Caenorhabditis elegans: one gene and its partners. The protein of the gene in region 4 interacts with the protein of the main gene of each other region in a pairwise test. Each region holds a gene or a part of one and is shown on either strand. Other genes may lie near its edges. The genes, in order: nspg-10, sdpn-1, hsp-43 and wts-1.

Region 1 (4,957 bases), on a different chromosome or scaffold from region 4:
TGATCAGGCACTTGCTGATATTAAAGAGTTTATTACTCAAATAAATGCACTTTATTTCAAAGATGACAAACCAATTTGGGTGACATTCGGAGGATCATATCCTGGATCATTGTCTGCTTTCTTTAGAGAAACATATCCAGAAATGACTGCAGGAGCAGTATCATCTTCTTCTGCTGTTCATGTATTTGTAGATTATTATGGATATGCTATTAATACTGAAAAGACTTATAGAACTGTTAGTGACTCCTGTGGAGATGTTATCAAGGTTGCATTCCAAAAGCTTATCACTAAAGCATATAATGGATCGGATAGCCGTGCACTTCTTAAACAACAATTCAAGTGGGTTTCATAAATAAAATATGTACCTAGTTTTTGAGAAAAAATGATTTTAATTTTAATATCATTGAAATCTCTCAAAAATTTGAGATTCTTAGCTTTTGTCAGTTTTGGCAGGATTTAGTTTCTTCCAGAATTATTTTTTTCACAAAAAGGACATACCTTTTTGGGAAGTTCTGAAAATACTATCACGAGCTTAACCAATATGTCCTAAATCCAATTTTTCCAGTCTTTGTGACAGCTTCGACGAGACGAATCTATCAAAAGCCGTGCAATTTTTTTTCCAAAATGTCTATGGATACTTTCAGATAATCAATCAATATACCGGAGATAATAAGGTTCATTATGAACATCTCTTCATTACTTCAAAAAACAACACAATTTTAGAGCAATGCTACACGATCCGGATTGGGAGTTCCTGCAGCTTGTGATCTTCTAAACAACGCGACAATTGGAGATGAGGTCCAGAGAGTTATTGCTGTAGTAGGTGTACCTCTACTAGTAGTGCACCTAATTTTAACTTCCAGATGAATCTTTATGATTCCTGGTTTAAGCCATCAGCGTCTGGATGCCGACCAAATAATTACACAGCTTTTATTCAAGCCTATTCGGACACTACAATGCCCAATGAGAACGTCAGTGAGTTTCCGAGTATTGTAAAGGTACTGTAGAATCGAATTGAAATTCCAGTTGGCACTCGCAGTTGGATCTGGCAGACTTGCACGGAGCTCGGATATTATCAGACTACTGACGGAGGAAATGGTGGAATCTTTGGATCTACAGTTCCACTTGAGTAAGAACAAACAAAACGTTAAAGCCAGGTAGTACTGTATTTTGAAAATATTTTCAGTTTCTTCGCCGATCAATGCATTGATCTCTTTGGGCCGGAATACACCCTGGATAATACTTTCAAACTCGTAGATCAAGTTCGTACTAAATACGGAGGAGCTGGCACATATCGTGGAACCAATGTCGTTTTTCCAAACGGATCCTTCGATCCTTGGAATGGTCTTGGCTACAAATGGAATAACACGAATAATAATGTTGATGCTTGGTTGATCGAAGGAACATCTCATTGTGCTGATATGTATCCAGCAAGCGATTCGGATAAACAATCATTGAAAGATGCGAGAATCCGGATTCATGGTCATTTATCCAGGTGGCTATCAGATGCACAGGCTATTAGGCAGCATTCAGGTAGGTTCATTTAAGAATGCCTCTTATTCAAATGGGTCTTGCCACGAAAAAATTGTATGTTAATAAGAATTATTCAGTTAAGAAAACATTAATCAAGTTTTTTTATTGATAAAATCACAGAAATTCCCACTTTTTCCTCGCGGCAATACCTTTTTTTCAATAAATACGTGGGCCTTTAAGTACGCAGATAACTGCAAACTCAAGATACTACACTTTCAATATTTATAGTTTTTCAGGTTCCACTACAAACTTCTCAATCTTCACCGCCATCTCCATTGTAATTTTCAGCATCCTATTCTAACTTTCAAAATATTATTTTTCAAATTTTATTCTAGAAATAATAAAAGTCCAATTTTGATTACATTTGCAAAATGACGTTGTGTGAACACACCCTGAAATTGCGTTTTCACCTCGCTAATAAGATGAAAGTGGTTGGAAGGGAGGAGTGCCTAATAAAATGAGTTGGATAGTGATAGGGAGCAGGCAAATATTCGCCGACGACGGTTTGCCGTCGTTATCAATCCCCGAGACGACTTTTTCAATTTGCCAGCCCTGCGTCACCATCACCTTTTCGGCATGAAGTTTGCCATCGTTTTTGCTGGTACGTAGATTTTATCGAACAAAGGTTTAAAAATAACTTTGGAGATTTTCAGCTCTTTACGGAGCCGCTGTTGCTCAATTCGGAACTGACAACTGTGTGAGCGCACAGTTTCAGGCTTGTAATAGCAAGTTAGGAGATTTTTGGAGAACTGAGTAAGTTTTACAAACGAAATTGTGACTAATTTTTTGAAAATCATGTGGTGTCAGAGTGTCTCATTTCACCTTGATCTACGTAGATCTACAAAACATGCGGGAGAAGAGACGCAAAGTTCTCAACTTATTTCGCATGGTTGAGAACGTGCTGAGGTCGCATTTTTTGTGCAAAAAATTCCCGTTTTTTTGTAGATCAAACCGTAATGGGACAGCTTGGCACTGCGAAAAAATTGCCGGGTGGAGTCGGTGAACACATATTTTTGAAAAGTATGCAAACACCGCCGCACAATTAAAACAAAATTTACATTTTAAAGTATAATTGATAATTTAAAAATTGTATTTCTATAGAAAATTGAAATTACCATAGACCGACATTTTAAGCTTTTCTACTTACTTTTTCAAATTTTTCACACATTTTTGCATTTAACTCTATGAACAATTTTTTGCTCTTATATACATAGTTATATACATAATAATTTGATCTTAATGTTAATTTTCTCAATCTTATGATGATATTAATATTCAAATTCCAATTGAGTAAAACTTCCACATATAAAATTTGCAAATCTAATGCGATTATGTTCTGATAAGGTCAGTAGCAACAGAACACACCTAGTATAGATATCAATACCTATAATGTGATCCGAGTAGTTCTAGAAGTAGATAAACACTATTATTTTCAGTCTACAAGTATTGATTTTAAAACTAGATACCTGAAATTGACCTTTAAATTGTTTTCACCCCGTCATTCAGAACATATTTTCAGCACCACCTCTGCCTGGAAGGACTTGGCGAGCTTGGACAGAATCACCCAGTCTCTCATCGTCTCCCCATATGTCATTGACTCATGGGTCAATGTTTGCAAGTAAGCCTTTCTTTTTAAAATCTTTAACTTTTCAATTCCGAAATTCCAGCGGTTACGCTGCCTTTTACGGATGCCTTGGACAAGCTCAAATCCGCAATTGCCTCGGAACCGTCGGACTCGTCGGATCTGGACTCGATCTTAACACCGCCTACGCTTACCAAGGATTCTTGGCCGACTGGGATTTCAAGTGTGGAGCCGGATTCTGGAGTAAGCGCCATTGATCTTTTAGCAGATTTTCAAATTTCGAACATTCTTCAGCTATGTACGAGCGTAAGACCCTGACCACTTGCGTCGAGAGCACCTACGTCAACTACCAACAAGAGACATCTGCCGCTATGAATACCTACATGACTGCCACCGCTCAAGACCCAAATGGTGCTTGCAAGTATGCTCAGAATCTCATGAACGCGTGGCAGAACACCTACACCAAGGGACCATGCCGTACAGTTATGCCAGTAAGTCTTAGCAATTGCTGAGCTAGAGAGAAAAAAGCTTTGTTCAGGCTCAAGCCGGATGGTTCGGATGCCAATCGGCTCGTGAATGGTCTAATGCTCAATTCAGACACTGCAAGCATACTACACAATGTGCATGTAAGTTTGAAAAAGTTTGCCTGCCCCAAGGCGACCTAGGATGGTCTGCAAGAGGGCCTAGACCTATCAGCATTGCTACTGATTGTGAGACTTGCATGCAATTGTATTCCTATTCACAAGGTTTCCTACAAGGTCACCTATGTCTGCCTACATGATTGCCTCTTGTTTTCTACAAGAATACCTAGGTTTGCCTAAGTTTACCTAGACAAACCTACAAGGTAATCTAGGCCTATCAACACGGTGACCTAGACCAGCCTACAATTTCACCTAGGTCTACCTACAAAGTTACCTCGGCATACTTACAAAGTTGCCTAAGCACGAGGCGGCCAAGTAGGCAAAATTAAACACCTACCTACCATACAAAACTTCAATATTTCCAGCTCCAACTTCCAACGAGGCTGTGACCAGATTCAACACTGAAACCGGAAAGGTTGAATATGAGACTCGTGAGTTTTATTTTTATTTTTCAGTTTTTTTTATCCCAAGTTCCAAAATTTCTAGTCCCTACCTACCAAATCGTCGACAATAAGGCCGTCGTCCTGAATGAGGCCTCCTGGATTTCCGAGTAATTTTGATTTTTTAATTTTTGAAATAATTATAATTTTCTTTCATTCCTTTTACCTGTCTATCATGAACTTTTTTGGGTTGAATCACACATACACAATCAGTCTGATAAAGTAAACCAATAACTATTTATTGCACTTCACGTTTCACTAAAAAGCACCTTTCAAAGCAAATAAGAGAGACCGACAGAGAAATTGAGAAAAATCAGTTAAGTTCTGCGGCGGCGGGATCCGCTGTCAAAGAAGACTCCTCCGTCGATGGCACAGTACCTGGAATTTTTCGTGTAAATTTATCATTTCTGCAGGCCTAGGTAATCATGCAGGCATTCCTAGGTAACCTTGAAATCAGGTCAAGGTAATCATGTAGGCCGGCCTACCAACTTACTTTGGGCAGATCCCCTCCTCTCCCGGTCTTCCTTGAATTCCAGCTTCTCCGAGATCTCCATCATTTCCATTTTCTCCATCCACTCCATCTTTTCCTGGTGGTCCCGGTGGTCCAACTTGTCCTGGTTTACCATCTCTTCCATCATTTCCAGGTTGTCCGGCTTCTCCTGATTGTCCCTCATCTCCATCATCCCCAGGTGGTCCAACATCGGAAGTATCAACCTCCCCAGGTTCTCCATCAGCTCCGTCTTCTCCCTTTGTCCCTGGAA
Region 2 (4,989 bases), on a different chromosome or scaffold from region 4:
AATTGTTGCAACTTCTAACTTCTTTCAAAAAAAAAAACGTTCAAGTTCAATCAAAAACCCTATTTTTCATTGCCAGAAAACATTTCAAGAACTATTTCTAATATCTAGTTTTTCCTCCAGTTTTTTTTTCAGTTTGAAACCAACTTTCAATTTTAAATTGGTCGATGGAAGTCTGAAGATGGTAACTACTCACCCAAAAAACCTAAATCGTCACACCATTACAATCGTTTAGCAGACGCCTTCTTTCAGATGTTATCTCGAAAAAAAAGACTAGTACAGTACAAATGGGAAAAAGAGAATCTTCAGATTTTCAGGAGTGCGTTCTTTAACCTATTATCTAATTAAATTTCTGTGAAAGTTGATCAACATAAAAACCAAACAATCTGAGTTTGCTCAGGTTTTTTGCTTTTTCTGCTGTAATACAAATATTTATGCTGACACAACTCATGATGAATCACGAAAAAATTGTCTTTACATTGCAGATTAGGCACTTCCTTCAAAATAAACTGGCTAAAAACTACAATTCCAGTTTAAGATACGAATTTCAAAAAAAAAAGTGCAGAAAGTATTATAAACAAAATTCCATTCAGCAAAGAAAACGCTTGCATGTTGCGGCGTTGTTAAACAAAAATATTAGGATAAGTTCTTTACAAAGTATCATTTTTCAAATGCAGTCAAATTTGCCAGATCACCTAAATGTTTTCTCACTTGATTATATATTCCCTTGCCCAACACCACCGCATTGTATTGTTCTATTGAACCTTCTTAGATGATCAATTGTTCATCGGAACGTGTTGATCTTCAGTTGTACCAACTGTAATCCGTACCAACGTGCAAACGCTGATCCCATGTAAAAACAGTTACCTCGTGCTTATGACCGTTCTCTTTGTTTCTGTCACTCTTTTCTGCCGAAAACGTGGAGAGGGTGTTGCGTTCTTTTCGAAAGAGCTCGTCATGCTCCAGCACATAAACTGCTCTTGAGCTCATATTTATACAGTCGTGCTCTTTCACTCCACTCTCCTATATCTCTGCGTCTTATTATTGTCCTTCACCCTCTATCCGTCCATCATTATCGTCATCATCATCATCACCCATGTTTTCGTCTTCTATAATTGCCTGCTACCTATGTCCTCGGGGGGGGGGGGGGGGGGGTGAAGGAAAAAGGAAGCAAAGTCATTGGCATCTCAGCTGCCAAGTGGTAACAAAGTGAGGATAGGAATTCAATCCAGCATATTGAAAATGTCTAGTTTTCACCTCTTTTTGCATCTTTTTTTTCTTACCGTTCGCCCTCTTCCAATGCCATCGCCATGTATCGTGTTTCCGTGAGTAGTCTGCGTTTCACAATTACTCATCCGTCACAAAAAAGGCATTCGCGTTTCCACCTGGAAGCTCTTAGATACTTCAAACACTTTGCTTCCGAAAACCATTGACTTTCACTTCACTTTCCTTTCATTGAAACTATCAAAAGTGAATTACGAATAATAAGGAGAGTACCATTTGATTGTGCTGGATATCCTCCTAAGTCTTGATCTTGCTGAAAGTGATTCACAGATAGAAAGTGGCTTGAAATTTCTATGAATACTTCTAATATATGTTTAACGCTGTGCAACTTTGAGACTTTTCTTAGGAACCGTTAATTTTTATGTTTTCTAAATTTAATTTATTTTAAAACAATGTTTCCAGCAAACTCAAAACTATCAGTACTTTCAAAACTCCTCCCTTTTAAAGCTATTTTTCCAATTCTCTGTATTTTTTTTTAAAGTCCATGTATATTTGTTAGTTGAACAACCGCTCAAACAATATTGCCCCACACCTTTGAGTTTGCCCGCCAACACACACTTTCTCACTCGCCTAATCAGTTATTGACAGTGTACATTTAAAGACTTTTTGATCACGTTTCTCACTCTTTCCCAACTATTTTCTCTTGACTTCCCGTGTTCTGTTGCTCCATTCGTCTATTTCACTCGAATCGTCGATCTATTAAAACATGAGCTGTTTACCATGGTGAGTAGATTTTGCCTGTTAATGTTTCTGTTAATCAAAAATATTAATTGTGTTTTTACTTTCAATAAGTATCCGAATAATATTGAATTTTTAATCAAACACATACGTTTTTTTTCACAAGAAATCTATCATAAAAAAATGTTTCGAGTAAACCTACCTAAAAGCAAGGGTGAAGATTTTCGAAATTCCCCATATACATAGTTGACTGTCAGAATTTTCGGCAGTTTTCAACCTCAGTCATATTTCAAACAGTTTAACATTTAACCTTGACATAATTGTTCATTTTTAAAGTTCCGTCAAATACCTATCAATTCAAGACACATCAAGCTTGAAAAGCGAATATTTTACTACAAAATACGTTTATACGTTTTGAAATCTCCAGAAATGTTCAGACATTGCTGTTTTAAAATCTTTTCGCCAATTGACAAAACTTCGATTGCCGCATTTGTAATTGTCAGAAATATCTCACCTCGAAAATTACCTATGTCTATTAAAAAAAACAACCAAGTAAGATGCTACTCAAGGCAAGTTACGAATGTTTTAAAAGCCCTCAGAATTTGCAATTTTTTGCTTGCAAGCTTAAGTTTACAGCAGTACTAGTTTGTAATTTTTCTTCCTATAGACTCTTCCTATGATGTTTTTAACTTTTTTTTTCGACTTGTTCATCAACCTGACTACATTTTAATTGATGCAATTCCATATCAATCATGAAAAAACAAGTATTAACGGATCATCTTGTTGCTTAGGATAATATCAACAGGCAAGAAAGCAAACTAACATAATAAACCATCGAATCTGTGCACCAGCTGGCAGTTCACCTCTCATCACGGTGTAGCTATTTCGCCTACGTCTCGTACTCTCTAACCATTTCCACCACCCATTTCTCCACCATCACCATTCAACATTTTCAAACCATGCCCCGCTACTTGGCGCCTATTGATTTATGATACTCGTTTATGTTCCATTTTGAAATTTCTCATTTTCATTTGAAAACATGTTAGATATGTGACTCACTAGCAATGCCTGTTTGAGCCGCACGTGTTTTGCAAATTAGGCAAACGAACCACTAAGAATACATAAGAAGCGAATATCCTTTACATGTCCACTTGGCATCCCTTCGCTCAATCAACTTCTATTCATTTCTTGTTTCTAAGTCCTTCCGAACGGAGTAGTACTCACAATTAAGGTAATCACAACCCTGTTATCCACTATTGTCGTATGTGTTTCTATTTTGAGATTTTTCCCACAGAAATGAATAGCTTTACAAAGTTGCTAATTAGAAGTAAGTAATTTGAGTCGTGTTTTATGCGATTAACATCATATTTCGAGAAGTACGCGAAAATTTATATATTTGTTTAGTTTGAAACTACACGTAATTTTTGTTTTTGAAAGTTGTGTTTCGTTCTTGTTTAAAAAAAGTGTTATATCTATAAAAATTAGATTTTAGTTTTTAATTTTTAAATTGAAAATTTTTAAGACTCCCTATTCCTTGTAAAAATGTTAAGGAAAAAAGCGTTTTTTTTCACAAATTCATATTTATACATTTTTTTGAGAATTAGTCGTTGTCAGAATTTTAAATTATAGTTTTTTTCTTTTTTTTTTTAAATATCTGTTGTAGATTTTTTGCATTTTATTTCCCTAAGAACTTAATCCTCCTTACACCGTACATAGCCAAAAACCAGCAAGTCCTAATTAATCATTCTCAAAGCTGAGAAATTAAAATTTTAAAAACTATATTTCGCCAGTAATTTTTATGAAAAAAGCCATGAATGCATGTTTGAAACGCTTTGAGTTTAAAACGGGAACATTTTTTGATAAAACATTGCTTCAAAATCCGTAGATCTTCAAAAACCACTTTTTTTGTTGGAAATTTTTACTTTTAGGAATTCTCGTTAACCCTGAACAGTGTTTTCTTTTATTGTTCACAGTCATCATGTAGACTGTTCGAATTTAAAGTTAGCTCAATGTTTTAAATGACACTAATAATAACTTGTTTTGTTTACAAAAAAATGTTATATTTACAAGAAAAAAAACAAACAACATTGACTACGTTCCAACTGCCCAACTCCTGATAATGATGTCACTGTCACCAGAATTCCCATAATAATTCATATCAGTACTCTCTTCCTGGCGGGGCACTTTTATCTTCCCTGGAACCTTGAAAACCGGTTAATTTCATTTAAATCATTCATTTCGGTTGGATTAGATGAAGCTTCCTCTTTTTCTTCTGCTTAAGGAGTGAAACAGAATCCCATACGACTTTTTCATCGTTTCTTCATCACATCCACCTTCTGTTTCACTGTTAGTCTCACCTCACCTTCTCCACTTCTCACACCTTTTTACGATGTTCTATTAGAACATTGTGTATGCGATTGAGTGAGTGTGTATCTGTATATGTATGACCTATGCAAATTCTTTATCCGTTCGCAAAATCTGCGTTTATTAATACAGCGTGCACTTTTTCAAGAAAGTAACCGAAGAAATTGACGAAAAAGGAGAGATCGGGCTGCCTATTTCGAGGACAACACATTCCTTCCATATTCTTCCGTAAAATGTTCAGACACTGGTCCCCTTCTAACTAAAACTAGGTCTTCATATCTATCAAATAAGTTGCGTTAGAATGGAATCTGATTCTGGTCGCTTTAACTTGTACATATTTTCCGATAGTGTTGGTCTTTCAAGTGTATGCCATTAGTAACTTGTTAGGCAATCTTCTAGGACATTGGTCAAAAAGTCCGTTGTTCAATTACGTTAAGCAACGGATGAATACATGTTTTTGTTTTTATTCGGTTTTCACTCACTCTTTTCACCAATCAGCTGTCAAGGTTTCATATTCCTGTATGGAATTTTGAATTCAAATTTTGATTCCCTGTTTTTCAAAATCAAAACAAATACTTTTTTTCAAATTTCGCCATAGGGTGCTATACTTAATTTTGTGTTCTAGAATTGTATTCTTGTAAAAATAACAAATATTTCCCGTATGTC
Region 3 (4,507 bases), on a different chromosome or scaffold from region 4:
TATGCATAAATTATTAATAACATTTAAATTTGTGGAAATTAAAAATTGGTTGGAACTAGCAATTCTCAAAATCATTTTTAAAATCATGAAATTCCTAAGCTTTCCGCGAAAAAACCTCAAACCATTTTTTACCCAAAATTAGTCATAACCAACAGTATTTGAATTTTTCACCCTTACTATTTCCTTCATAACTGTGTATTTTACTCACGCACAGGCAAACACTACTCTGAAAAGCAAACTGAACTCACACAACCGCCGTCACCACCCAGTTTTGGACAAATTTAGGTTTCAATTACAGTATTGGTTTAGCAAAAACCACGGAAAATGCGTCGAATGGATTAAAATTGCTTTTTCCCCGTTTTTTCTCCCAAAATCAAGCGTGGGCTGAGTGACAGAAAAATTATTCAGAATTTTTTAGAGTGCAGTGCGGAAATGATTTATGGTGCTTCAAAAAGAATTATAGGCAGAATGATTGAAAAATAGGAAAAAGTCAATTTTCGTTTCTCACAGAACAAACTATGAATGGATATTCAATCTCAACCAATTTTTTTGCAGTAAACGCAGTCAACCAGTTTCAAAAATTCCTCTAATGCGAAAAAATGTAATGTATTTCAATATCGTTTATGACAACACATAGAATGACTGTTCAGAGCGTTCCAAAAAAACTTCTGTAGGCGTTGTTCTATTAGACAAATGAGACCAAAAATGGTTCATAAAAAGCCGGTTTCGAAATATTTTCGAAATAATTGCAAAACTGTTGGAATAGTCCAGAAAGGGCGTATTCCAATCCATGTGATCACCCTATCCCTTTTTTCTTGTCGTCGTTCCTCCACTGATTAAATATCACATTGATCATCATCGTCCAACGTGAAGAAAAGGCGGGAGCGACAAAATGGAACTGCCTATGCCTCTCTCTGTCAATTGGTTCTGACTCATCTGAAATAGGGTAACTTTGACCGGCGGCCAACGCCCTTCTCTTTTCAAAATGGGTATATAACAACGCCAATGTCAATCGAATATTCAGAGCACACGACTCAGCTGTCATATTTTTTTGAGAAAAAGTGTTTTTATCTGAAATTTTCAATTTTCCGTTTTCAAACTTAAGTGACCCCTTCCGGTGAACTTTTTTGCCAACCGTCTTTGATGATTTCCATTCCGACCTCCGGTGCCCCCAAAATAACAGTGTTGACAGAGAAACACAGTCAACATTGGCAGACCTCCTTTTGATTGCGCCCCTCTTTTCGCATTCTAACTCTGTTCACGTGGTATTTACCAAAAAAGTCGTCGGTGGGGTCGGCGAAGATTCGAGACGAAGGTGAGAGCGGTTAAAACCACGCCCAAAACTCTCCAACCTTTCCATGCAAGACAGAACTTATAAAAGCTTGCAAGATTTGTGTTCCGGCTTTTAGAGGTTTTCACTTTTTGTTCACCGATTCTTAACTTCCATTAAAAATTAAAACTATGATAGCGCACATTGTGTGACATTGTGTTTTGGAACAAAGGTTAATAGTTATTAGGTTTTATGTTAAACTGTGTGTTTTTGTACTTCATCGTTTCATTGCTGCCGTTCCCCATAACCGGAATAACAATTATTATTTTACAGAAGTACCACACCCCCAGTTCAAAAAATGACTCTTGCAACCCGTCATGCCGATTTCACTCGTGACAAACTCTGGAAAGAGAACGACCTGTGGCTCGACGATTTCCGTGATTGGCCTCTTGATTGGCCAAAACCAAGGGACTTTTTCCACCGGGTATCCAATTCATTGGGGGCGGCTTATTAGTTTCCGATAGTCAATTGTTAGAAATAGGCATAGGGGGCTATTCATCCGCGACCTACCTCTACACGCTCTTCACTCTGGCTACTATTATATTTTGCCAGGCGTTTTACTGTTCAAATCCGGTCGTCGTCGTTGGTCTACTTGACAGCCCTACTCGAATTTACGTACATATACACCATTAAGAGAGTCAAATCTCACTGCTTTCCCCTTCTTGGTTTATTTGTTCCATGCCAACTGAAATTTGGCAGTTTTCACCAGTTTCCCCTAAATTTTCCTCAAATTCGAATGCTCTCTCCTTTTCAATCTGAACAAACATTTTGTTTTTTTTATCATTTGAAAAAAAAGTGAAAAGAGAGGAAATCGGCAGCCAATTTCTCCATCGATGAATCAGAATATTTTGTGAATCATTTTTTTTTTTGCATTTCAGTTCTCCCGTGACGTCGACAGTTGGTGGAAGGATTGGCCAACCGATTGGCCCCGTATGGACGCCGTCATGCCAAGAGTAATAATTCAAATCGCATGAACAGAAACACATCGAAACTTTTTTGCAGTTTTCCAGTCAACTTGATCGCATGGATCGCAACTGGAGGAGTGATCCATACTGGATGAATCTCTACCCAAGATGGGCTGAGCCAATCTTCAAGGAGGGAATTGACGTAAACTCCAATGTGGTTAATGATGATCGTAGATTTGCCGTTGACATGGATTGCTATCAATTCCGTCCTGAAGAAATTCAAGTGAAAACTCTTGATGATACTCTGATGATTGAGGGAAGACATGAGGATATTCGTGATAAAGATAACTTCACCAAAATGTACTTTGTCAGAAAGTACCAACTTCCAAGAGACGTAGACTTCAACTCGATTCAAAGTAGTATTGATGCCAAAGGACGTCTTCAAGTTGAGGCTGGAAAATTCAACAACATGGCATTGCAAGGTCGCGAGCGTATGATCCCAATCGAAGGAGCCGGGCACCATTCACCAAGATTTGAAAATGGAACACTCCGTTCGCAACGAGGACCAAACTCGCCAATTCATGTCCAGACTGAGCACGACGGGAGGAGCGTGTCTAGCAGAAGTGGATCGCGATTGAATGATAGTCCAGGATCGAGAGACGTGTATTCTTCTCATTCTTACAGGTAATCCTACAGATAATGATAGTGAGTATCTGAAAATAAAAATTTTCAGCTACCACCGCAGCGACTCTCGCAATCGTCTCTCCCCAAATGATGTTAACATCACTAGAAATGACAACCGAACATATAGCCCAGTCACTCCTCGTATCACAACAAGTGGTAAGTTTTTGAAAATACATAGTTAATTCAAATTTTCCAACTTTCCAAAACACTGCTTTCTGTCGTGTTCTCTTTCCACATTTCATTTTTCTTTCTATTTCTCTTTTCTATCTAGATCCCATAATTACCTTCAGAGCGGACAGTAACACCGGAACAGCGGTCGCCGGGTCGAAAAGCGTTCGAAACCATTCGAAACAATTTTGAGCGAGGTCATTTTTGCAATTTCGCACATCGCGTTTCTCTTTTTTAGTTAATTTACACACATTTCACACGAATTACTTCCCACTTCCCTCATCACAATTAGAGTAAACTTCCAACAGTTTACTGACAATACTTTGGATTTTCTCATCAATCACAAATTAACTACAACATTAACATGTTGCGCCTTTGGTCAAAAATGATCGTTAATGACACATTATTTGTTGAAAACTTGGATTTTGAAAATTCGAAAGTTTTAAAATTGGAATTTTAGGGTCATATAATACTGCTGGAAATGCAAATCTTCACGAGGAGCGTTCAAGCTCTCGCGCTCAGTCTCATCGCTCAGAAAGTCGCAATGGAGGTGAGTTTTCGCTATACATTGAGGGTTCTTCAATCAACTGAAGTGGTAAAATTTTTCAGGATACCGGGTCGAGTCACCAGTGAGCACTACAACTGGAATTCTTCGTAATGGAAACTCGGACTCACCAAACTCAACTCAACGCGAGTACCGATCAATTCAAATTCTCCGCAAGACATATTAATTGGACCAAAAACCTTATGCTTTTACTCATACCCGTTCTCCTTCAAAACTTCACAAAATTCTGCCTACAGCTTTTAAAACAAAACAATATATTTTCTGATGCTTCCATATACTCTATTCACAGCTTTTCCACTTTCAAATGTACACCTACTATTATACATAAACATTTATGCTTTTTGTTTACTAATTTTTAGTACGATTTTGTTGGTTTCAAATCTAGAACTTGAGGTGAGAAAAATATGATGATATAGAAAAGATGAAAAGAAAAATGATGGAGCCACAAAAAAAAACAACAAAATACAATCATTTCTCACTTTGATAATACAATCCATTCGACGCTTCTTTTCTATCGATCATGTCCCGTTATCCACCGCTGGTCACCAAAAAAGAAATCATCTACCGGCGTTTTATTGATGATGTGAGTTTAGTCTTAAAAACTAAAGAAGTTATTATTAAAATCGAATTAAAAACAACGATAATTTTCAGATATATATATATATATATATATATATATATTTAAAATGCAATTTAGAATAATAACTTTTTGATAATTGATTGCAAAAATTAAATTTTGACGAAAATTCTAAAACTCCAGTTATTCAAAGTACCAGAAACAATTTTTATTTGTAGCATAATGAACGTTTCGACAATATCGTGAGAAACCCTACATCATATCCTCCAAGAGCTCCA
Region 4 (7,567 bases):
ACTTCTTCGTTTGTCTGGGATAAAACTTCTCCTTGAGCTTGATATACGTAGAATGCGTAAAAGAATAATACCTGCAAAAAGTGTATAATTTCATTGACTTCTTGTTAATTATATTACCAGGCAAATAAGAAATACAAAAAGGGGCCAATTCCTCATTGTAGTAGGACGATCCGAGTGTGAACTGCTCCTGAAAGAAAAAAAATTGAATATTTATTTAAACGTTGTCCTTCTATGTATCTATATGTTTGTTTAATGGTTACAAAAAAGGGAAAAGCCACGCGACATCTGCGGCGCACCGTTTCGTTTTTATGCAAACGGAAGACTGCGTGGATGTCATAGATACAAAAAGGAAAGAGACATCGATTTTTGATAGGCTGACGAATGCAAAAAAACGGAGATTAAAGGGGATTTGTAGTAGAATTAGAGGAAATGCATAGTTGTTTGATTTAAAAAATCATCAAAATTCATAAAAACACAGAAAACTGAGTCAATACAAGAAAATTCGAGTATCAAGCTTATGTCTACTGTTATTTTTTCAAAACTGCATTTTAAATAAGAAAAACTACAGAGTTGTGACTCTTTCAGTAGTAATATATAGAGTTATCATTCCAGTGAAAAAATTACAACTCCAATTTCCAGTTTTAACCTAAAATCACTTGAGTACGTATTTCTAATTCAATTACAAAAGCTGATGATGTACTATAGCACTTACTGGGTCTTATGCAAAATTACAGAAACAATTTGAAAACTTGGTTGAGAATTTAAGCCAGAGTAATTTTTTTGTCGGAAAATTCCAATATTCAGTATTTAAAATATAGATGTTGAAGGTAATATATATTCTCAAAAGTACGCAGGCACAGTCGACAGTAACAGGGGCGCCTGGAGTGCCTCTCCACTACCGGCGAGGGCAAGGAGCACCCCTTTTCTACAGATGTTAAAAATTTGTTTTAAATTCAGTAAAGCTGGTGAATTTTACAAATTGTGCACATTTTTGAATCCGGAAAATTTTCAACACTTCGAAGTTGTTCTCAAAATCGGCTTTCAATTCAAATTTTAAACAGGAAAACATCTTTAAAAATATTTGTTCAAACACAGAGTTTTATAAAAAGCTTCTAAAAACTTACCGTATGAGAGGCTTTCTGCTGGATGACATGACGGGGGGATACCGGCAAGTATGTCTTTTCGACGGGCGATGATGGCCGCTGATGATACGGCGAGAGGTTCCGAGACACAGGCGTCCTAAATGTGTTGGAAACTAAACGGCAGAAAATGAGCACTAGAAGGTTGGAGAGTCGGGGAGAGATGTTAGAGTGACGAGGGATGAGGAATGTTGGAAGAGACAACACGAGAGAATAAGACAAAGAGAGATGTCCTGCAAAAGAGAGTAAAGACTTTTCTCCTCTTCCTGCGGGAGTCAGAGAGAGAGCGGCGGGAAGCAAAGAGACCACATAACGATAAGAGACACAGAAAGTTTTGTATCACTGTCTCTCTCATCATTTCATTCTATCTCTTCACCTTCTTCTTCTTCTACTTCAATCCATTCCCATCGCCTTCTCCGTGTGTGTGTTTGTCAGTGTTCGGCAGGAGGCCCTCCTTTGCATTGTATTCCCCTGGAATGCGACCTGCTGCCCCTGGTACTACTCCAAATGGTGCATCTTCTGATATCAGACATCAACGTGGAGTTGCTCCGATCCCATTTGGCTCTACTAATTCAGCGATAGATGCCCATCACAATTCAGTAGGTTTTGGTTTGGAAAAGTGATTGGGTTATTGATTCAGATCTTGATCTGTTTGGCTTGATCACTCCCTAGATTTTCAGCTGAACCATGTGTCATTTGAAAGAGGACCTTTAAACTAGATCGTTGTAAATTTTAAGCGGCAAAGTGTCACGATCTGAAACTTTTTAGTGCTCTTTTCACAACTTTCGAGAGCTGTAGACTTGCTCCAAAAGCTATTTTTTGCAGACATGTTGTTTTTCAGTGATTAAGAGCAATTGAAAATTCTAGGAGTTTTAATAAAATTTTTAAAAATGTTCTCCCCCTAATCAACTCGATCAAAATGCTTTCAGATTTCCGTTTAAAAAATTATTTAACTTAAAAATTACCTCTAGCATTTTCGGACCAATTTTTTCTAGTTCAAAATGCTCTTCTGTTGCTAAATTTTTTGTGGGGTCCTATTCAAAAGGTCTTCTTTTAAATTATATTGGCTTTGCTATTGTTTGTAAATACATCTATAATCGCAAATCATTTTTTTTTGCAGTTCCATGTTTTTTTTTCCTGATTTGAATTTCAAAATCTGTTCAAGATTCGTAGAACTCATTAAAATTTAAAAAAAAATCCTCAAAATTACTTCACCCTTTCTTATTCAACACTTTGGCGTTCCGAGACAATGCGGGGCTTTCATGGCAGACGTTATCACTTGGAATGGCGGTTTTGATAAGAAAATGAAATCACCTAAAATTCCATTTAGAAGCATCACCTTTTAATAGTTTCGTAATCAATGAATCAGTATTTTTCATATGAAAAATATATAAATTGCTCAGAAAAATGTACAATTTCAGTGTTGAAACATTGAAAACTTCCATAGAAACGCAAAGTTTTTTGCTTTAAAGAAATCCTTTTTTTACAAAAATTCTAAAAAATTCGCATCTGGGCAGTGGTACCATAATTTGGCATAACTAATTAAACCAATTGTTTTTCCAGGAAATCCGCGTGGGGCGTCATCGTGCAAAACTCGACGAAATTCGCGAATCGCTGAAAGCTTACGAACATGAAGCCGGTTTATTATCAAGTCACGTGGCTCTTGGATCACTTGCAACACCGTCAAGTTCTTCCGTCAGCCATTCTGACATCACCAATGACAATGCGGAAGTGATGAATTTTTCGTCTTCTTCTTCAAATGCAGCAGCGACGACGACGACAGTCTCGAGCGCTGCTGTATCAAATTCGAATTCTTTTAGAGTGAGTCACATTTCTTTTTTTTTAATCAAAAATGGTCCTGGAAATCGAATGGAAAAACATTTTGAGAGTAAAAAATAAAATTCGATTGGCTGGGAAAATTGTCCGTCAAATTTTCCGTCTAGGTCAGTTCGTATGCCCAAAAAAAACATAACTTTTTTGAAATTTATACATAGACCGGCCGAAAGCGTCATATTTTTCTTCGAAAAAAAAAAGAATGGAATTGTAGCAAACTAGCTAGAAATTCTATTGAATAAAAAATTATGAAATAGGTGGCTCAGCTCAACTTTGGGATTTTATGAAAATTGTCAACTATGAATCGATTTATGATCTTCAAAAGTGGTGAAGGGTGGTGGTTCAAAAGTGAAAAAATCATATTTTCAGACAGAAGGTGGTGGTCACAAGATGCGGATAACACCAATGCCACAAAGACATTTAATGATGGATACTGGTGCCAATGAGACAGTATTTCGAAGTGGAAAAGAGATGATTCGAAATGGAAATCCATCAACAACTATATCATCAACACCTTCTACAACAACTGAAGAGTCGATTAGGATACATCCTGCTGGATATCGATATGATATGCCAACTCCTGCATATCATATGAATAACAATGCACCACAATACTCACCAGGATATGTAAGTTGTTCTCGAAAAAATATAATACTAAAGAATCGGAAAGTACTTTTTCTGAGAAGTCCCACTTAAAATTTTGTTTTAAAAAAATTGGTTTGCGGTGGTTCAGTTTTGAAAAAAGTCCAAATTGTCAATGCGATTATCACTTTTCATATTTTGGTCGTTCGTTCCATGTTTTTCTGTTGATTTGGCTACATTTTCGGTCACATATTTGATAATATTTAGTGCACCCGTAAACTGAAAAGGCACTTTAATCAACGGCGAGACACGTGTGAACAACTAAAATTAGTAACAAAATATACTTCCAAATTGACAAAGTTTGAAAGTTTAAGCTGAAAAGAAAATGGACCAAAACTTTCTTTGAAAAATACTCCTAGTTCAAGCAATAGGGGGACCTTCTTGTGACCTGTTCATAACTTCTGAAATTTTTTTTGTAAAATAAATTAAAGAGTCCAATAAAGTACACACAAACACCCCTAGTAGGCAGACCTGACACTTTAATAAATGAAAATTTTCAGTCTCGACCACCTCCACCAGCCTACGATTCATCTCCGGTGAACACTAGAATGACTCCAGTTGCAACAGACAACTACCGTACTCACCTGCATATGAAAGTTCATCCTGTTGTAAAAGCGCCACCACCGAATCCAACAATGCTCAATCACAACAAGAATATGGCACCCCCACCGCCTCCTCCAGCAAAATCTACGATTTCCATCGAGACAATGTAAGTTTTCTAAACGATATCAGAAGGATTCTATAAATCTTTTGCTTTAACTTTTCAGGAGTGAAGAACGAAAAGCAGATAATATCCAGAGACTTTATCATACATCAATGGACAAAAAAACAGCTAGTAGTGTTGTTAGTATCAATGTTGCTTCTCCTCATACGGTATTTTATGACCTCAAATGATATTAAAATTCATTTTTAATTTCAGACAAAAGTAAATGTTGGTGATAGTCCTCTTCCAAGCAAATCATTCATTATTGGTCCACGGTATACAGCTGATGTCGATAGGAAGAATTTTGTCAACTATAAAGATGAGGTAAATTTGAGAAAAATTCAACTCCTACCTTCTGAAATATTTAACTGATATTTCTAGAGTCATTTTTTTGACAGAGCTCATAAAATATAAGAGACTAAAAGTTTTGTCTTCGCAGACACCCATAATCAGCAAAAATTTGCAAAACTACTTTAGAATCGGTTTCGAGAGCCCAGTTGAATTTTATGAATAGAACAATAATTGTTATAAAGTTCGGGGATAAACCCTAAAAATAAAATGATTTCAGCTGCGTCCCGACCCTCGCCTGATTCCATCCACTTCCGATGCAAATCATGAAGATTTCCGGCCGATCCTTTTCAAACCAAGAAATCTCGAAATCACAATGAAATCACGTGCTCAACCTCCTCCTCCTCAATACAATCAACCCAGTGAGCCACCTCCGAAACGAGTCAGCTCCCCAATTGATCGAACACTTTTGGAACCATACATCAAGAATACACGAAGAGTTCAACCATGTAAACCAAATATGCTTCGATTTTATATGGAACAACATGTTGAACGACTTCTACAGCAATATAAAGAACGAGAAAAACGAATGAAACAGTTGGAAAAGGAGATGGTTTCAGCTCAATTACCGGATATTATGAGGAATAAAATGCTGGGATTACTTCAACAAAAAGAGTCAAAATATACGAGATTAAGAAGACAAAAGATGAGTAAAAGCCATTTCACTGTCATCTCACATATTGGTGTTGGAGCATTTGGAAAAGTTTCATTGGTTCGAAAAAATGATACTCGGAAGGTTTATGCAATGAAAAGTTTGGAAAAAGCGGATGTCATAATGAAACAACAGGTAGGATTTGTTATTTGTTTAGGATCTTGGTTTAAAAATTTGAAAATATTGGTGTCCTACGTTTGAAATAAAACCTTGAATAGAAAGTAAGAAAACTGCAAAGTCTAACATTTTTGATACTCTAGGTTTTTTTTTTTTAATTTAATTGATTCTATATTTGCTACTAGTAGGAAAATATATCAGATATATTGTGAGTCTAGTAGTTTTTAAAATGTGACTGTAAAGCGATATGATCGAAAAATAATTTCAAAACTTTTTGACTAAAAACACCATTTTCTTTCAGGCCGCCCATGTGAAAGCCGAACGCGATATTCTGGCAGAAGCTGATTCTCCTTGGATTGTTCGTCTTTTCTTCTCATTTCAAGATGATGCTTGTCTATACTTCATAATGGAATATGTTCCCGGAGGAGATATGATGACTTTATTGATTCAAAAAGGAATATTTGAAGAAGATCTCGCTAGATTCTACATTGCTGAACTGGCATGTGCAATTGAATATGTTCATAATGTTGGATTTATTCATAGAGATTTGAAACCGGATAATATTCTAATTGATCAACATGGACATATTAAGTTGACTGATTTTGGATTGTGCACTGGTTTGAGGTGGACTCATGACAGAAGGTAAGATTATGTATTGTTTATTTGTCACGAGAAAGAGAGGGTGTCTAATGGAATAGAGCCTAGGCGCGACGCAAATGATTAATTGTAGTTGGTGTGCTCAACATCTGTGCAAAAAATATTTAAGTCACACATGAAACCATCCAATATTTTCTAGATACTATGGACCTGAAAACGACCATCATCGTGTCGATTCATTCTCGCTTCCTCCTGAAGTTGCAGCTATTGATAAAAGCGTTAAAGTTCTAAATGTTCGACAACAAACCCGCCGGATAACCGCCCATTCTCTTGTTGGAACAGGAAATTACATGGCACCCGAAGTAATTGCCAAAACCGGGCACAATCAGAGTTGTGATTGGTGGTCGACTGGAGTGATTTTGTATGAGATGGTATTTGGAAGAGTGCCATTTCATGATGATACACCTGGTGGAACACAACATCGAATTAAGAATTGGAGAAACTTCCTTGATTTTACATATTGTGGAAATCTATCAAAAGAGTGCCTTATGATGATTCAAGTAAGTTTTTTTGTTTAAATAGACGTTGTGAAGACCAAAACTTTTTCAGCAACTAATTTGTGACGCGTCGTCAAGATTGGGATCTCACGGGAAGGATGTTGCCGAACGAACGGCACAAGTCAAAAATCATCCATGGTTCAGGGGAATTGACTGGGTTAACTTGAGAAAACTGAGAGCTGATTATATTTATATTCCTCGGGTCACTCACGATGAAGACACTTCTAATTTTGAAACGTTTCAAGTGAGTTTTTCCTTTTAAACTTTGTTTAGAGTGTCTAAAAAAGTTAGATATAATTTTATGTATGTAGACATAAAAAAGATAGCATCAAAATTATGAATATTTGAGTTTGAAATACAGAATTTTTATTTGAATTAAAGTAAATTAATTGTGGAGTTTCTGAAACTATTATACATAGCAGCTCCAATAAAAACATAATTGAGTTTCACTACTCAAATTTTTAACTTAAATTTGGAATCTTGAAAAGTTTTCTTTCAAAACCTATCACACTTCTAATTCCAAATTTCCAGGACAATGACCGTGCTGACAAGCCGAATGTGCGAGGTCTTCATAATCCAGCCTTCTATGAATTCACTTATCGTCATTTCTTTGATACGGATTCTGTTGGTTGCCCATCACTTCGACCATCTCGTCGTCGGTCACTTCGGCCATTACTTGAAAACGGAACTTTTAATGAGTCAGTGTCGGAAGAAGATTCATCGTCTCATATTTAAAAGAGCATGAATTTGTTTATTGATTATATTATATATGATTTTAATGTGATGTTTTAGTATCATTTTTTACTCATTTTGCTTCTATTTTTATCTTTAATTTTCCAAATTACCCTCTTTACTAATTCTGTGATGATCTCGATACGGTTTTCAGAATTCGAGATATTTTTAATATCTCTTTTCTTTTCTCTTTTTCTCTCATGTCGCCACACTATTTCGTTCGTTTTTTTTTTGCTCAAATGAATTT

What was found.
Region 1: the proteins of wts-1 (region 4) and nspg-10 interact in a two-hybrid assay, tested with the Caenorhabditis elegans proteins (one large-scale study listed by BioGRID).
Region 2: the proteins of wts-1 (region 4) and sdpn-1 interact in a two-hybrid assay, tested with the Caenorhabditis elegans proteins (one large-scale study listed by BioGRID).
Region 3: the proteins of wts-1 (region 4) and hsp-43 interact in a two-hybrid assay, tested with the Caenorhabditis elegans proteins (one large-scale study listed by BioGRID).

The regions. Positions count from the first base shown.
Region 1 is NC_003282.8:4,603,781-4,608,737, forward strand, and holds nspg-10 (uncharacterized protein), read left to right. Parts: upstream 1-2,005; 5' UTR 2,006-2,109; coding exon 2,110-2,134; intron 2,135-2,186; coding exon 2,187-2,286; intron 2,287-3,052; coding exon 3,053-3,151; intron 3,152-3,200; coding exon 3,201-3,358; intron 3,359-3,409; coding exon 3,410-3,606; intron 3,607-3,653; coding exon 3,654-3,741; intron 3,742-4,121; coding exon 4,122-4,187; intron 4,188-4,242; coding exon 4,243-4,310; 3' UTR 4,311-4,437; downstream 4,438-4,957. Other genes in the region: F19C7.4 (Serine protease K12H4.7), read left to right, coding at 1-339, 566-674, 724-819, 864-975, 1,027-1,129, 1,187-1,533, 1,770-1,834; col-110 (Nematode cuticle collagen N-terminal domain-containing protein), read right to left, coding at 4,514-4,574, 4,690-4,957.
Region 2 is NC_003284.9:7,995,094-8,000,082, reverse strand, and holds the start of sdpn-1 (SH3 domain-containing protein), read left to right. Parts: upstream 1-1,987; coding exon 1,988-2,004; intron 2,005-4,989.
Region 3 is NC_003284.9:6,232,638-6,237,144, reverse strand, and holds hsp-43 (SHSP domain-containing protein), read left to right. Parts: upstream 1-1,601; 5' UTR 1,602-1,628; coding exon 1,629-1,754; intron 1,755-2,208; coding exon 2,209-2,283; intron 2,284-2,332; coding exon 2,333-2,919; intron 2,920-2,968; coding exon 2,969-3,075; intron 3,076-3,209; coding exon 3,210-3,284; intron 3,285-3,547; coding exon 3,548-3,637; intron 3,638-3,696; coding exon 3,697-3,818; 3' UTR 3,819-3,994; downstream 3,995-4,507. Other genes in the region: C14F11.4 (AIP3 domain-containing protein), read left to right, coding at 4,173-4,235, 4,448-4,507.
Region 4 is NC_003279.8:10,291,895-10,299,461, reverse strand, and holds the start of wts-1 (Serine/threonine-protein kinase WARTS homolog), read left to right. Parts: upstream 1-1,534; 5' UTR 1,535-1,615; coding exon 1,616-1,738; intron 1,739-2,702; coding exon 2,703-2,960; intron 2,961-3,341; coding exon 3,342-3,599; intron 3,600-4,114; coding exon 4,115-4,323; intron 4,324-4,381; coding exon 4,382-4,487; intron 4,488-4,533; coding exon 4,534-4,641; intron 4,642-4,885; coding exon 4,886-5,452; intron 5,453-5,735; coding exon 5,736-6,076; intron 6,077-6,230; coding exon 6,231-6,591; intron 6,592-6,640; coding exon 6,641-6,832; intron 6,833-7,119; coding exon 7,120-7,323; 3' UTR 7,324-7,383; coding exon of another isoform or gene 7,384-7,567. Other genes in the region: T20F10.2 (Si:ch211-1a19.3), read right to left, coding at 1-71, 118-187, 1,125-1,153. UniProt on the Caenorhabditis elegans protein: Phosphorylates yap-1 which may negatively regulate yap-1 nuclear localization. Plays an essential role in larval development.